Linked DNA regions of Alligator mississippiensis. The protein of the gene in region 2 purifies or fractionates together with the protein of the main gene of each other region. This does not show direct contact. Links are inferred from orthologs where the notes say so. Each region holds a gene or a part of one and is shown on either strand. Other genes may lie near its edges.

Region 1 (7,742 bases), on a different chromosome or scaffold from region 2:
TGTGTGTGTGTGAGGTCCAGCCTTGGTAATGTGGACTTATGGTATAAGCCAGGAGTTAGTAAATCATTGTCTGTTCAGCTCGGACTGGTAGAGGACATCTGCATGCTGGTTTGGGGGTCTGGGAGTTAGGAGTAGTGATGTCTGAGCCTGACTGTGCCTGCCCTTCCAGCTCTCACTATGATGGAAATCTCCTTTGCTAATATTACACATCAAATTCCCCATCTCCCCTATAATTAATCCTCACTGAGATACCCAGTTGTCACTGAATGGCCCACCCCTACTTTTATTTACAGCTGGGTAAAACTTTCTGACTGTCCATTCCCTATGGGTTACCTATCATAGCAAAAAGTTCAGGGTGTTGGCAGTGGCACTTAATTATCGTAGCCTGGCATATGCTAGGGGACTTCACCTCTGTAAACTAGACACTGTGCAGTGTGTGTCTTGGAGTTGAACAACTTATTTATCCAGACAGCTCTGTGCCATTCTATTACTACCCTTTATTGTGTCCCTGTTTCTGTTCCCAAGAGTTTTCCACTCACTCATCCGCTAGTAGAATATTTATATATTTTCCTCCTTCCTTCCCTCGTCCAGAGAGAGATTAGAAATGTGTGCAGCCCAGCTACAGGAGTACCACTGAGAAGTTAGTGCTTTCCATGTGTCACTGCAGACAGATCTGGTGCAAAATGCACTAATTCTGAGCTGCCTTTACACCAGTTGAAGTGCTCCACTGCAAGTACTTTCCCATGTATAGCAAGAGGTATTTGAAGTGCTTTCAGTGGTGAAAATCTTTAGTGTAGACAAGCCGTTTAATTTGAACTCCAAGCTCTTCAGTGTGGAATGACTTGTCCAGATTTGGGCTGGATTGGCACTGGGGTAACAAAAGAACACAGCCTGGGGACCTGGAACAGCAGCAGAACAGCAACAGCTCCGTTCCTCGCAGACAATGTGTGCGTTTTCACAAGTCTGTCTAGGATTAAGAAAAAAGCACTCAATCAGTTATCCACTGGCTCTTGGGTGCAAATTAAAACCTTGCCTTTGAGGTCAGTAAAAGGACTAAAGTACTGTTGCTCTTTGATTGTGATGTATAATGCCATTTACTTACAATCCCACTTCTTTAGAAGGCATGAGCTCCCCCTCTAATCTGCCTTGGGTTGGACATCTACCATAAACCACAGGCAGCTGTGGTTTAGTCTGCAGGAACATTATGTCCTGCTCTGATACTGTGCTGCCTGTCGGAAAACGTTTTTCTTGCTTCTGTGTAGAGGCAGGCTTTAGTCTAACTGTTTTTTCCCTTATTGATGTGTGTGGGAATATATCATGAGTGAGGGTTTAACCATCTTTCCCCCTTCCAAACCAGAAAGGCCTTATCTCTACTACACATCTTCAACAGCAATCAGTTCTTTCATTCCCCAGCTTCTATATAAATGTAAGTACCAATCAAGCTATTAATTTCCCTGTCAATTTGGGGTTTACTCTGCATCTCCCTGACTAACTTTCAGTGCAGTAAGAATCACATGCAGTCTGTCTCTCAGATATCACCATGCTTGGCAGTGGAGTACCAGCTTCAAGTCCAAAAACAGCAGTTGGCTTTTGTATGTGTGCGTGCATGCATAGAAAGAAATTCTCAGAAACTTTCCCTGTTGCTCTGCACTAAATAACTGAGCAAATTGGGCAGCTGGTTCCAGGCTCACTAACAGCATTTTCTAGGGATGGCGGTATAGGACTGTACATTTGGCATAGCTAATCCTGGCAGGAGGGCAATAGTAATACGGTGCAGAGAAGGGAACATAAAAATGACTGTTAATTTCCACCCTGCAGCCTACATTGCTTAACAGCCTTAGTTGGATCCTTTTTGCCCCTTGCTGCTTTAAAAAAAAAAAATGTTTTATTCTGCAAACTACTCTAAGGGCCCTTTATTTTCTTCATGGTCAGCTCTGTAAAATTCTGAAGCAGTTTATACTGACTGCTTTTAATAGTTGAACTGTAATACAGCTTTCCTCGCCAACCACGGTTTTGAGTATCCACACTTAATATTCTGTATACCATTTTGGCTACCACAGTATGCAGTTTTGAGTAACCACGGTTTTCCATGGCTGTGCATCAGCCCACCACCTGCCATTTTCCACCTACGCCTTTTGTCTTGCCAACCACAGGAACTTTCAGGAACCTAACCCCAGCGGTCAGCGAGGGAAACCTGTACTGGATTGTGGATAAGCACATCACCCTTCTAAGGGAATAATAAAATGCCTTTCTGATAGTACATCCCATCCTGTCAGGTTCCATCATTGATCAACTGAACTACAGAGTGAACTTTTATGTGGGCATCACTTCATCCATTCCTGTAAGACAGATGCATTCAGTAACCTGTGTATGCTCTGGGGAGCTTTAGTTTATTTCCTCTTGGGTTTTAGCTCACTTTTTCTTTTTACAGGGAATACAGGTACTAATTTTAAAGACAAATTTATCTTTTGCTACTAACATGCCTGCAGCTATTAAATATAATACCCATTTGAAAACACGGAGCTACTGCATCTCAACCAGTGCACCTGGCATGAATCTGAAAAAGAATCATAAAGACCAATCAAAAGTACAAGTGACTGATGTCTTCATCAACATGCAAAGAGTAAATGGAGAACAAAAAGCAAAGGTGGGTGTTTAACAGTTCTTTTGCTGTGTGACTGGCTCCCCTGACTGACAGAGTACAGGAAATGCAATAAAGTTGCATGAATTAATTTAGCCTCAAGGTTCTCTTCCAGCTTGTTTCTGTCACCTCTTGTGAACCACTTGACTCATTTCCAGGTCATAATTTCTCCCCACCAAACACACACAGCCTTTGCTGCTGCTTTTATATTTAAATTTCCTATTTTGGGAGTTGTTTTCATTGTATAAGATGTTTAAGTTAACTTGCCTAGATTTTATTTTTTGTGTCTCCTTTGTTCCTGTGAGTTCACTGCTTGCTTGTTTGCCTCTCCCAGCACTGCCCCTCTCCCCTCGCTTTCTCCCCTACCTTGCTCTTTGCATTCTGATTTCTCTTCCCTTATATTTTGCTTTCTACACATCCTTTCACAGCATCTGATGAAGTGAACTTCAGCTCGCAAAAGCTTGTGCGTTTGCGCTCTAATCTTTCGCTCTCCCTGGGGTGGGGAGAGTATATAAACTCTTTCTTTCTCTCCCTCTCCCTCTTTCTTTCTCTATATATGTATAATTTTCTCTATACATTACCTCTTTCATTCTCCTCTCCCTATCTCTCATATTATCTCTAATTTCTCTCTCTTATTCTCTCAACAGATATAGAGTATATATGTGTGTGTATTATATATTCTCTAGTCATCTCTCTCAACATATACATATGTTGAAGATGCTAGTGTTGTGTGTGTGTGTGTGTATTCTCTACTTTGAGATATATCATCTCTATGCACATATGTTGAAAGATAATGTGTGTGTTGAAATAATTATATATACTGTGTGTGTGTGTGTGTGTATGTATGTATGTGTGTGTGTGTATATGTATATATATATATATATATAATCTCCTATGTAATCTCTCTCTAGCTAGCTAGATATCTCTATCTCTACATGTAATTTCTCTCTACATAGAATATACATAGACACACTATACTCTATATTCACCTCTCAACATATATGTAGAGAAGTATGTATATATTTGCTCCCTCTCTCTCTCTCTCATGTGTGTGTGTAGGTATATATACACATCTCTCAACATATACATCTGTGTGCATATGTATAACATCCTTTATCTAAAAAAATCGATATATACACACGTGTGTGTGTGTATGTATATGTATATAATGGAGAGAGATATGTATACATAGAGAATTATGTTCAGAGAGAATATAAACTAAAAAAAATATATGTAATCTCTACATATAATCATCTCAACAGATATTTATATAGAGAATATATTCTATTCGCTATACATATAGTTCCTATATTCAATCTCAATATTTATATACTCTATGTAAGTATATATTCTTTCTCTATAGTCTCTATTTGTGTGTATATATAATCTCTACATATCTCAAATATGTATGTTGAGAGGAGATGATAGACATGGTGTCTGTATGCATACAGACGATTTCTCTGTGTAATGTGTGTGTGTGTGTGTATAAATATTGGATCCTCTCAAGATTATAGAGAAAATGTATATTGTTTATAATCTCTCTACATATAGAAAATCTCTCTGCGTGTGCACACACCTCTCTACACGTGTGTGATTATATGGATATGGAGAGAGAGAGAGAGAGTGCATATATTCTCTTTATACATATAATTTCTGTATATGTTGAGAAGAGAGATATTCTCAGCATTTATCTTCACATACGTCTTGAGATATAATGTTGAAAAGAGAGATGTAGGAACTATACGCTGTCTCTATGCATACATATATTACCTCTCTCAACATCTATATTGGATTGTGTCTCTATAGAGATTATAGAGGAAAATAAGTGCGTGTGTGTATAAAATCTCTAAATTGTTTCCCTACTTCCTCCCTCTGGCTCCGCCTAGCAACGGTTGCCCGGGCAACCTCGCCCCAGTTCCGGCCCCGCCTCCTTCCGCGCGTTCGCCGGAAGCTGTTCGCCGGAAGTGACCGCGACCGGCGTGTGGGCGGGGGTGGAACTTCCGGCGGTTGGTGCGCGCGGGGCGGCGCGGCCGACGGGGGCAGCGCGCGCCGGGGGCTGGCGGCGGCCACGCAGCGTCCGCCTCGGGGGGTGCCCGTCACGCTCCCGCTCGCCTCTCGCGCCGCCGGGCCCGGCTGAGGGCGGGCCGCCGCCCCCCGTCGCCCAGCCTCGCGCCCCGTCCGGCCGGCCGGACCCGGCGCCGTCGGGAGAGGCGGGAGCCGGCCCCTGCAGCGCGAGGGAGGCCGCCCCAGCTCCATGAATGGAAATCGGCAGCGCAGGTGAGCGCCGGGCCGGGCCCCTCGCGCTGGGGACACGTCCGCGGGCCCCTGGGAGCCCGTTGGCCAAGGCTGGAGTTGCCTCGAGCCCGTGTAGCGCTGGGCGGCGGGGACCCCGGCCCCACGTCCACACCCAGGGTCGTGGGAGCCCCGTGCCGGGACAGAGGGGCGTTCATCGGATGCCCCCGTGGCCCTCGCTGCTGTTTGGGGAGTGGGACCCCGGGTAGGGGGCTTTGCTCTCCGCCGAAACGGGCTCTCCGGTACCTCTCTACCATGGGGAAACTGAGGTTTGTACAGACCGGGTCGAAAGCAAGTCTCCCGCGGTGACTTCGAAGCACTCGGTAGATGTGCGAGTGCCCGTTAAAAAAATGCCTCGGGTCCCTGCCGACGGCTTCTCGGTGGATCAGTTTGGTCTCCGTTTCCGTCCGGCGCTGGCCAGCCCCCGAACCCGAGCGGTCGGAAACTAGAAAATATTCGGTTCTGTGCCATTGAGCCGTCTGATCTCTGCAGAGGAGTGTAAACAGAACGGTTTCCCCTTCCATCACCCATACAATATATGTGTGTGTGTGTGTACGTGTGTGTGCACAGACACATACACAACTAGCATCTTCAGATGATGGTATCTGACAAGTGGAAGCTCCGTCCTTGGAGATCGTTAAGACCCGGCTGGACAAAGCCGTGGCCGGGATGGTCCTGCTCTGAACAGGGCATTGGACTAGATGTGACCTCCCGAGGTCCACTCCCATCCAACCTCTTGTTTTAGTTATTGTTGTGAGAATTGGAAGCAGTCTCTGTAAAACTGATGGTTGTGAATTAAAGAACTGCCTATTAGCAGTTCTTATATCAAACCGATGCGGCCCATAGCTGTTAAGTAACTGATGGACTGTAGAATTCTTTAAAGCTCCGTCTAACGGTAGCCCAGCCTTGGGGCATAGTTGCAGAGATGATCAACCAATATAATCAAAACTGTTTTAATTACGAGTTATAGGGAGCCATATGTATTCAGTATTTTTCTAAAGAGGGAAAAAAAGTAAAGGTCTGTTTGTATTAAATTACTTTTGCTTCTGGTTTGTTTTGTTTTATCTTTTATTTTGTCTACTGCACAAGAGATTTGGGTTAAATTAGCAGTCTGATCAGGAGTTTTCACTAGCCCGTTTATCTTGAAATGCGGTGCTTATGACTTATAATAGTATGTGGATACTCCCCTGGTCTGAGATTCTTAAGAAAGGAGCTGTCTTAATATATCAAAGGAGATTACTTCAGTGCAGTAAGATGGAAAGTCAGCAGGAGAGTTTGTTTCCCCTTTGCTCATTCAGCGACATATTAGGGAGTTGAAGAACAAATGGAACTTCAGGAATTTTAGACTTGCAGTTTTCTTAGCTTCCAAAACATGTCAACACATGGTAAAAACATGAAAACTAAGCTGAAAGATTCAGTGTAAACAAACATGTACAGGCACACTTATGATTGATGGAGGGAGTTAAATTAATGCTGAATTTGGTCCTGGAAACATTAATCCGGATTACAGAAGCTATACTTTTCTTTAGTAAGAGATATGCCTGAACCAAAGCCATTTTAGGAGTTGCAGTGATCTGGTTTCATACTATTAACTTTGAATACCAATATTCTGAGAGTGTACGTGTGTGTGTAAAAATCCTAGCTGGCTTCTAACTGCTTGTAACCCATGTAGGACGCATTGCATCAACAATGTCTAACTTTGGTGGAATCTGGCCTGTGTGGCTTTTTGAAGGCTGGATGTGACCGCCCTCTGTGAGAGCCATTGTGTGGATGTTGCTTTGGAACTTGGGCCAAATGCCTCCCTCCCCCCTGCCACCTATTTGAGTCACTAGCAGTGACCAAAGACCCCAAATACAAGTGATGATCATATTCACCCTTTAGGGTCCAGAGTCATGTGGGCAGCAAGTTAAATCTCTTGTGGGCTGTATTTGACCCATGAACTGCCACTTGAACAGCTCTGTGTTACATTACATCATTGGTAGGGCATTGGCAGCGCCCACATCCTCCTGTTTTACCTGTGACAATTTAGGGCGTTCTTGGTAGGAGTTTTGTGACCGGTTGATTTGTATGTAATAGTATAGACCAAATACTTGGATGATTTAGAAAGGGATGATCCTGCCTTGAGCAGGGGCTTGAACTCCTGAGGTCCCTTCCAGCTCTATTGTTCTGTAAACACAGCTCCCCTTTCTTCAGAATGGGATAATTTGCAGGTAGAATAGATAATGGAAACGCCCACTTCACGCAAGACCTTTGGCTTTCAGTCTGAGTATGCTGTTCTACCATCCAAAATAATTTAGCCGTGTTTCACCTCAGGCTGTTTTTCAGAGGTGGTTATGCTTATTCTATATAAATGTTCTCAGAGGATGATTTACTCAGTTGAATTCAAGGTCAGTATGAACTTTTAATCAATTTTTTAAGCTAAATGAGGTTTCTGTTAGTTCTTCAATCACACCAGTTCATCTCTTGCAAGACTATTACTATATTTGCTTGTAGCAAATGGTACAGTTAAGGTAGATAGTGCTAGCTGAGACTGCAAAGACATTACAGTCCATTTGATGACATTTGTTAGTCTGTTGCTGTGTTCCCCATACATGCTTCCAAATCTAGTCAACATTGGACAGGCCCAACTGAATAAGGGTGTCTGTGGCTCCAGGGATAGAAAAGAGACCTCAGTTTCAAGCACCTTTTTAGTAGCTCATAAACCAAAGTAGCAGCTGATAGTGCTGCTTAATGTCTGCCAGCATAGTGCTATTGTCTTATCTGTGCCCATAGAGCTGAACAAATTGATACCTGAATTTCTTATCCACCA
Region 2 (7,129 bases):
CCACAGCAGGGGCCACCATCCCTGCAGCTGTCACCTCGCTGCGCCTTAACACACCCAGTGTCACCCATGTCACGAGTTTTGCTTGTCCGCAACTTGAGGTGTAGTTCCCCCCAAACCCCTGCACCAATCTCCTTGAAACTTGGCAGGCTTTGTGGCCTCCATAAGAGCTACTATACCTGCAGTTTTGACCCCTCTGTGTTGTAACACACAGCCGTGACAGGAGTTTGGCTTTCAAGAATTTGGGGTACAGTTCCCCCCAAACTGCTTCACTGATCTTGAAGTTTGGCAGATTTTATGCTCTCAGCAGAGGCTACAATCCCTGAATGTTTCATCCAAATTGGACAACAAACAACAAAGTTATAGATATTTCATTGATTCCCCATTATACCCTATGGCCAGATCTCCAAGGTGGCTCTTGGCCCAATCAAGGTGGAAACGCGGTCCAGAGCTCCGGATCAGATCGTGGCCACCCGAAGCGGCTGGGTCCAAAGCCGGATCAGATCGCTGCCGACTTGCACAGGCCTACTGTATTTTAAAGCCCTTACAAAGCCACCCACCAGGTACATAAAGAGCATAGAGGCAGCTACAACAGTTAATGGGCTCATCTACGTGAGATGCTAAAAGCCCATTGGACTAATTCTACTGTGCATTAGTGCAGCTGGCAAAAACTGTGCTAATGCGCAGTAGATTAGTCCAATGGGCATTAAGTGTCACACAAAATGCCAGTTACAGTGCATTTAGTACCTGTTATTCTAGACACTAAAATTAATGTGCCATAATTACAGTGCATTAATGAATGTGTAGACACACAGGTGTATTCCAAAATAGTACCTTGAGCATCAGCACTTGATTTCTGGAGGGAATAAAAGTTGGACAGGGCGCTCAAGAAAATATGTTATTCTTGATCCTCTTTGGAAAGTTTCATGGGATCTAACTTCAGCTGGATTTTGGTAGATGGGATCTCAATTTAACATCATTAAATTGAGCATCTGTTATGACTGTAATCAGTACAGAAACTCAAGTGGTAGTTGGGCTGTATGGTAGGTGTTAGCTGTAAAGATGGGTTGGCAGGACAGCTGTTAATGTTTTGGAATGGATGGGGTCAGAAAGCAGATATCATGCCTCAAATCATTAACCAGAATAATTTAATGGGTCTAAACCTCAATCAAGTGGCAGCACCTGCAAAAAAAAGAGGCCTTGAAGGTCAGGCTTCAGGAACTGTGTGTCAATCTGAAAGACTTTAACAAGGACATAAAGGAGATGAATTGAGAAGGAAAAGAGGAGATCTCTATACATGGCTACAGTAGTTACAAATTCAGTATGAGGTTGGCACTAGTTGTATAAACCCTGCATAATCCATAGAGGTGCAAGGATTAAGAGTCAAAGAAGGAAACCCCCTTTCCCTGTAATATTATCCTAGCTGTGAAGACTGGAGGTCAATTGTCCCAGGTGAAGCTATTTGAAGCAGCCTAGCAGGAAGGGAAATCTGCTGGGTTGAGTAATTGTCATCCTGTATAAAAGAAAGAAGAAAAAAAGAGGTAAGGAATTGCTTTGAAGAGCCTGTTGTATTGGGGTGAATATGTCTCTCTTTCTTTCTTTCTTTCTTGTAAAAGTAAGTTGAGTTGGTTTCCAATAAAGCTGGTATTGCTGGGTAATTTTGTGGTGGCTTTGGTATAGGAAAGGAGATTGAAAATAAGGGGGGGGGGGGTTCCCCCCCACTTCATCTAATTTTACTTCATTTTCCCCCTTTACAGATCATGTAAAAAATATACTGGTAAATCTGATGCAAAAATAAAAGAAGAAAATAGAGACTAAAGAGAATAAGAGTGTTATAAACCAGCTTTGAATCTTTCTACATTTCCACTGCGAAAGACCCATTACATAGTTAAGCTACAGTATAGATGGGGCCAAACTATACCTTGTTAACTAAAATAATGCCATAAACATGTCTTGGTTCTAGTTAGCATGGGTTAAAAATCCCGGTTATGTTTCCTTGTGGGAAGCTCTGAAGGAAAAAATTCTTGCCTGCTTGCTTGGGAGTGTGGGGAGGGATCTAGTATTTAAACGAGAAATGGAAACAGAATTCTTAAGCTTCTTCTAAAACTCTTTCGTTTCTAAAGTTGTTGGTTTTTTTTTCTTGTTGAAAAACTAGAAACCAGCCAATAAAAACGTTTCAGACTAAGATTGTCTTGCCAAAATTAAATACTGTCTGATTTGGCAAAAATGCTTTGATGGGAACACTTGACCATTTCTAACTCCAGGGCTGTGACTAAGGCCTGAACTTATTGGTTGAGTTCCCTCCTCCCTGCCCTGTCTTTTTTGTTCGTCTCTCCTAGAACCAAACCTTTATTCGTTTTCTCAACGCAGTCTTCTTTCCCATTACCTAAAGGTCTTTGCTTCTCTTGAAAGTTCCAGCATTTCTAGCTAGCGGGCGTTTTCTTATTTTACAACCAATATAGAAGTGGTGTTTCTCATTAGTCAATGAGCTGACCAGCATGCCTATACGGGGGGGGGGGGAAGGCACTTCAGAATACGTTTGTAGTTTTGAGTCTCAAAACCATATATTCCATCTGAAGTCGGTGACAACTGAGAGCTCGCAGCAGCTCTTGAATTTGAGTCCCTACTCTCCCACTCACATCAAAACTGGCACTGAGCATGTAAACCAGCATGGGGACTGTAACAAAGTGCAACCGTCATTTTAAAAGCAGTTACAAACCTAGCATAGCTGACTCCCAAATGCAGCCCTACAAAAATGGAGCTTTTAAATGCGTAGTCCCCAGAGGGATGCTGGAAACTGAACTGGGTGGGAAGTATGTTTGGATAGGGGCTTGTGAACAAGCTCCCTTTTCTCTGAGTAGAGTTAGAGACCAGGGAAGAGTCCAGACGGGAAAGTCATGTCTCCCTAGCTTTCTCAGCTGAAGGATCGGGCTGGGGTTGTGAGCCCAGGATATAATAGCCTCTGCTCTGCTCTCTAGGATGCATCTCATAGCTCATTCACTTTTATTTCAACATTTACGTTGCTGGAGCCACCAGCTCTGGCCATTTGAAAGGGAACTGTGGAGTTGGATGAAGCCAAGCTTGGATCGACACGAGAAGCCTTAGGCATCGCAACATTTTCAGCCTTGTCTGGAGGCAACATCCTCCGCTTAATGGTATTCCTAATTTTCCTGCCTGTTGGGTAGGAGCAGCCAATTTGTCCCACAGGTGCCAAAAGCCCAGTCTGAGGTGGCTGCACCAAAGGCCATAATGGATGAATTGCTGGGCTGAGGGGAAGCCAGAACAAACTAAAATTTGGAGGTTTGATTTGGCATCAAAGCTGAAATCCCCCTGCCCCCAGAAGGCATTCTGGATAATCAGCATAGTTTGATTTTTATTTAATTTAATTTAATTTTATTATTACTATTATTTTTACCTGGGTCTTCCAGGGAGAGCCCCTAAAACATAGTATTGCCCAAAGTCACCTTACTCTGTCTAGCACTGCTGAAACTCTCCTGTGCTGGCAGGGAGAGCTAAACTCCAAAATGGCAGACTGAAATGCCTAAAGCAATGTCCCTCACTCAAATACACGAGAGGGAGTGTGAGACTGCCCCTTGGCTTTTGACCTAGTCCCTTGAACTTGGGGGTCTGGTTCATGATATATGAAGCTGGCTGCTTAGCCTAAGCAAACTAAAGGAACTAGCCCAGGGCAGGACTGATCGATGTAAACTGACCTTTTTCTTACGTACCTGATTGCAAGTTCAGTCTGGCATTGATTCCACAATGCCGTTCCCTGAAGATAAGCTCCCTGAGCTACAAAATAGAGTCTATCCTTTGTTTTCTGCTGCCACCCTCCAGACCTCGCATACAGTAATAATAGCTCTCCTGTATTACTTAGGAGGAGGCTTAAGAAGCAGGTGAATTGAAGGGTTTGGAGCCCTGGGAGGGGAAATTCTTGGGAGTTTGTTGCAGATCCCTGAAGTAGCTGGAGCTGTGGGAATAGATTTGATAACAAAGGGTATCCAAGGACAGATGGTGCAAGGCTGAGGAGACACAAGTAATCAAGTCTCAGGAGAGAGTTAAGGAACAAACAGAAGAAAAGAAGAGATCCCAGGCTTTGAAGAGAGGGTGAGCTTATACCTGAGGGTTACCTTTCACTAAGTTTTCTGTGAGCCTTGAGGGGGACTGTGGACCACAAAGGGCAAGGACCAGCTGTCGGGGATGTTGTATACATTTGTTTGCCATGGAAGAGCTGGATTTTTTTCCCCTCCCTCATTTTGCCAAAATTACCTGCTCATCCTGGTGAAAAATGGAGAGTGGCTGCTGCTTTGGTAATGGAAATAGATGGGTTATTAATATTGTAGGAAGGGTTTTGCAGATTCACAAAACATGGATAGAAAAGACTTAAATCTACCCTCAGACTAATGCAATTTTTTTCTTCCTCAAATATTAGCAGAGCACGCTGTCTAGTGTTTGTTCAGTTAAACATAAGCAGTAAGTCTGTAAATGTTGGGGGGAGGGGGTTGATGTCTTGTCTTCATTTTCCCTTATTTAAGCATATCCCTTCAGTCTTCATTACACCAACCTGTACCCCTCTAAATGGGTCCTTTGCATCTTTAGGTGTTGCATGCTGCGAGCATATTCCCTTCAAGCACTGTCAATCAGAAAGCAGTGCCTGTTTAATAAAATAATGCATTGCACACAGTAAACTTCCGTGTCTCATGTCTCATAACACAGCTATGAGGTAGGCACTGGGTTACCATATTCCACTGTCCAGGATCCTGAGGGAAGATAGAAAAGTGATTTGTCTAAAGCCATACATAAAATATGTGATAGAGGAATAAAACCCAGGATTTCATATCATGCTCATCATCACTGTAATATTTGAACACATTCTAGTAGCATATTAAGTGATGTGGCTAGCATGTCGCATGTGGTTCATCTCTGTCTCTTCTCGCCCCGCCTTGTCCCCCCAAGGGGAAGCATTATGTGCATAGTACGGTAGTTTGTTTTGGTAGGCTATTGGTTTGGGGTTTTTTTGTAAAATGCAGACACTGCTCTGTCTGCACTAGAGAAAGCAGCTTGAAGAAGTGTGCCTTGCACTTAGAATGGGAAGGGATGAAGTTTCTCTCCTTTTGTCGTGTACCCATTCCTCTAATCATTTTCTTTACCAGTCCTTTCTTCTCTTTCCGATTGCTCTCTTTTGAGATTAAAAAAAAGAAAGCTGTGGTTATTCAAAGTGGAAAACCTTGAAAATAAGAGCGTTTTCAATGAGCATTTAAAAGTTAGCAGAGAGGTTTTTAAAAATCTTTGTTCTTGAAGGAAAGCATTTGTTTGCAAAGCAGATTGGCAGTCCTGTTTTGTTCTGGATGTAAACTGCTTGGTATATAATCTGAATTTAACAGTTACCAATTAACAGGAAGATTGGTACAATAGCAAGGGCAATCACACAGCCAGGGTGGGATTTTATTTTAAAGGTGAGTTTAAGAAAACAAACCCAACATTTTAAAATGTGTTGAAGAAATTGAGAGTAAATGATGTTATATTTATAACACCCTACAGCTGAGTGCTAAAGAGTATATTTGGTGAGAAAGCGAAAACATCACAAGCAACAAAGTCAACTACTGGTAGCATTCAGTACAACTGCAGCACTTGACTACATAGGGAGGATGAAAGGGGACTATGAGCCTGATAGAAGAGACTTGAGGATGGGATGCATAAGGAGGATAGCATTCCAGGGAGCTGGAGAAACAAGAGGAAAAGCAAAATATTTAGAAAAAATGTTGGAGAAATGAATTTTATTAAAAAAATGAGAAGTTGGTAGGAGTAGAAAATGCTGAAGTAAGAACAGTCTGATCAGGATAATAGTGGGGAAAGCAAGGTCCAAAATGTGCTGTCAATATTTATGGTTCTTTGACTTCTGACATTAAATAATTCTCAACAATTAAAGAAGGACTTAAAGAGTATTTGCAAAACAGGTCACTGTAACATATATTTTGCAAGTATAGTTGCACATAGTTCCATAATCCAAAACGTAAGGTGAGAGAACAATGTGGCAACATCTACCAGAAGTGGGGCAAAGTGAGATACTTGGGCCATGTCATCTGGAACAAACTGAGTGGCCAACGCCAGTAGGATGTCAAGAGCTCCTTCTAGTGCTATGGTGTGACTACATCAAGCCTTCAGCTGTGTACACCCGAGTTCAAAGTTTCCTTAAGATCACAAGGAAAAAAATAAGTTGCAGAGAAGGGCTTAGAACTGGACTAGATGGGGATGCAAAAGACTCACTATTGTTGGGGATTGGCAAAGTACCAGCGGGGCCACTGCTGGCATGGTGGTATAGGAATAGAGCTCTTTAGTAGTAATATCCAGGTGCTGGGCGGCTTTGGTGTAGCTTTGCAGGGCTGAGCATGTATGAGTAGGGCTGCGCGCAAATGGGAGCGGGTGCAGGACCTGCCTATATCACATTTTACACTTGCCTCCGTGATTCAACCTAAGCAACACATTCACTTAAACATTATTTGAAACGTTTTTTCCTCTCCAAGCCCTAACCATCCATTATAATTGGTCATTCCTTCTTCTCCTTTGATTAATGACATTTGAGTGAGAGGGTGGAGAATATACTTTGAAGTTATACACAGAGCTTTGATTTTTTTTTTTTTTAATGGTTTAATATTTTGGCTCATGCCACATGCAAGCAATCTCCGTATGCAAAACAAAATGCTCCCCAGCGCTGGCTCCTTTGAGCATGTCCTGTTAACTTCCTACGAGCAAAACCCTTTTGAACAGCCATTTCGGCATGTGTGAAATTGATTTCATATCCACCCTTCTCAGTGAAAGAAAATGGCGGCACAGAGCTGTGGGCTTTACAAGCTCCTCTTTCTTTCTCTCTCTCTTTATTTTTGAGATATCTTATTCTCACCGCTTGTCTCAGCTGTACAAGACAGATGACTTTAAATCTCTCTGATGCTGTGTCTGGTGCCTGCAGGTTAGCCACACTGACTTAACATGCAGTTTCGACTCTGTACCTTCTGGTGAGAAAAACAATAGGAAACAAATTTACAACTGCCCCTCCCCAGGTAATTTGCATAGCGCAAAGCCCCCACTACCTCCCACCCCTTCCATGAATGTCTTCATGTAATTAATTAATACC

What was found. The genes of interacting proteins can lie anywhere in the genome.
Region 1: the proteins of TNRC6C (region 2) and protein argonaute-3 purify together in Homo sapiens (affinity purification with mass spectrometry; 3 studies listed by BioGRID and IntAct, with this or other methods). This does not show direct contact. The link is inferred for Alligator mississippiensis from reciprocal best matches to the Homo sapiens genes TNRC6C and AGO3.

What each region holds. Positions count from the first base shown.
Region 1 is NC_081829.1:9,020,441-9,028,182, forward strand, and holds the start of protein argonaute-3, read left to right. Parts: upstream 1-4,689; 5' UTR 4,690-4,899; coding exon 4,900-4,918; intron 4,919-7,742.
Region 2 is NC_081831.1:15,731,005-15,738,133, reverse strand, and holds the start of TNRC6C (trinucleotide repeat-containing gene 6C protein), read left to right. Parts: upstream 1-4,027; 5' UTR 4,028-4,104; intron 4,105-7,055; exon of another isoform or gene 7,056-7,129. UniProt on the Homo sapiens protein: Plays a role in RNA-mediated gene silencing by micro-RNAs (miRNAs). Required for miRNA-dependent translational repression of complementary mRNAs by argonaute family proteins.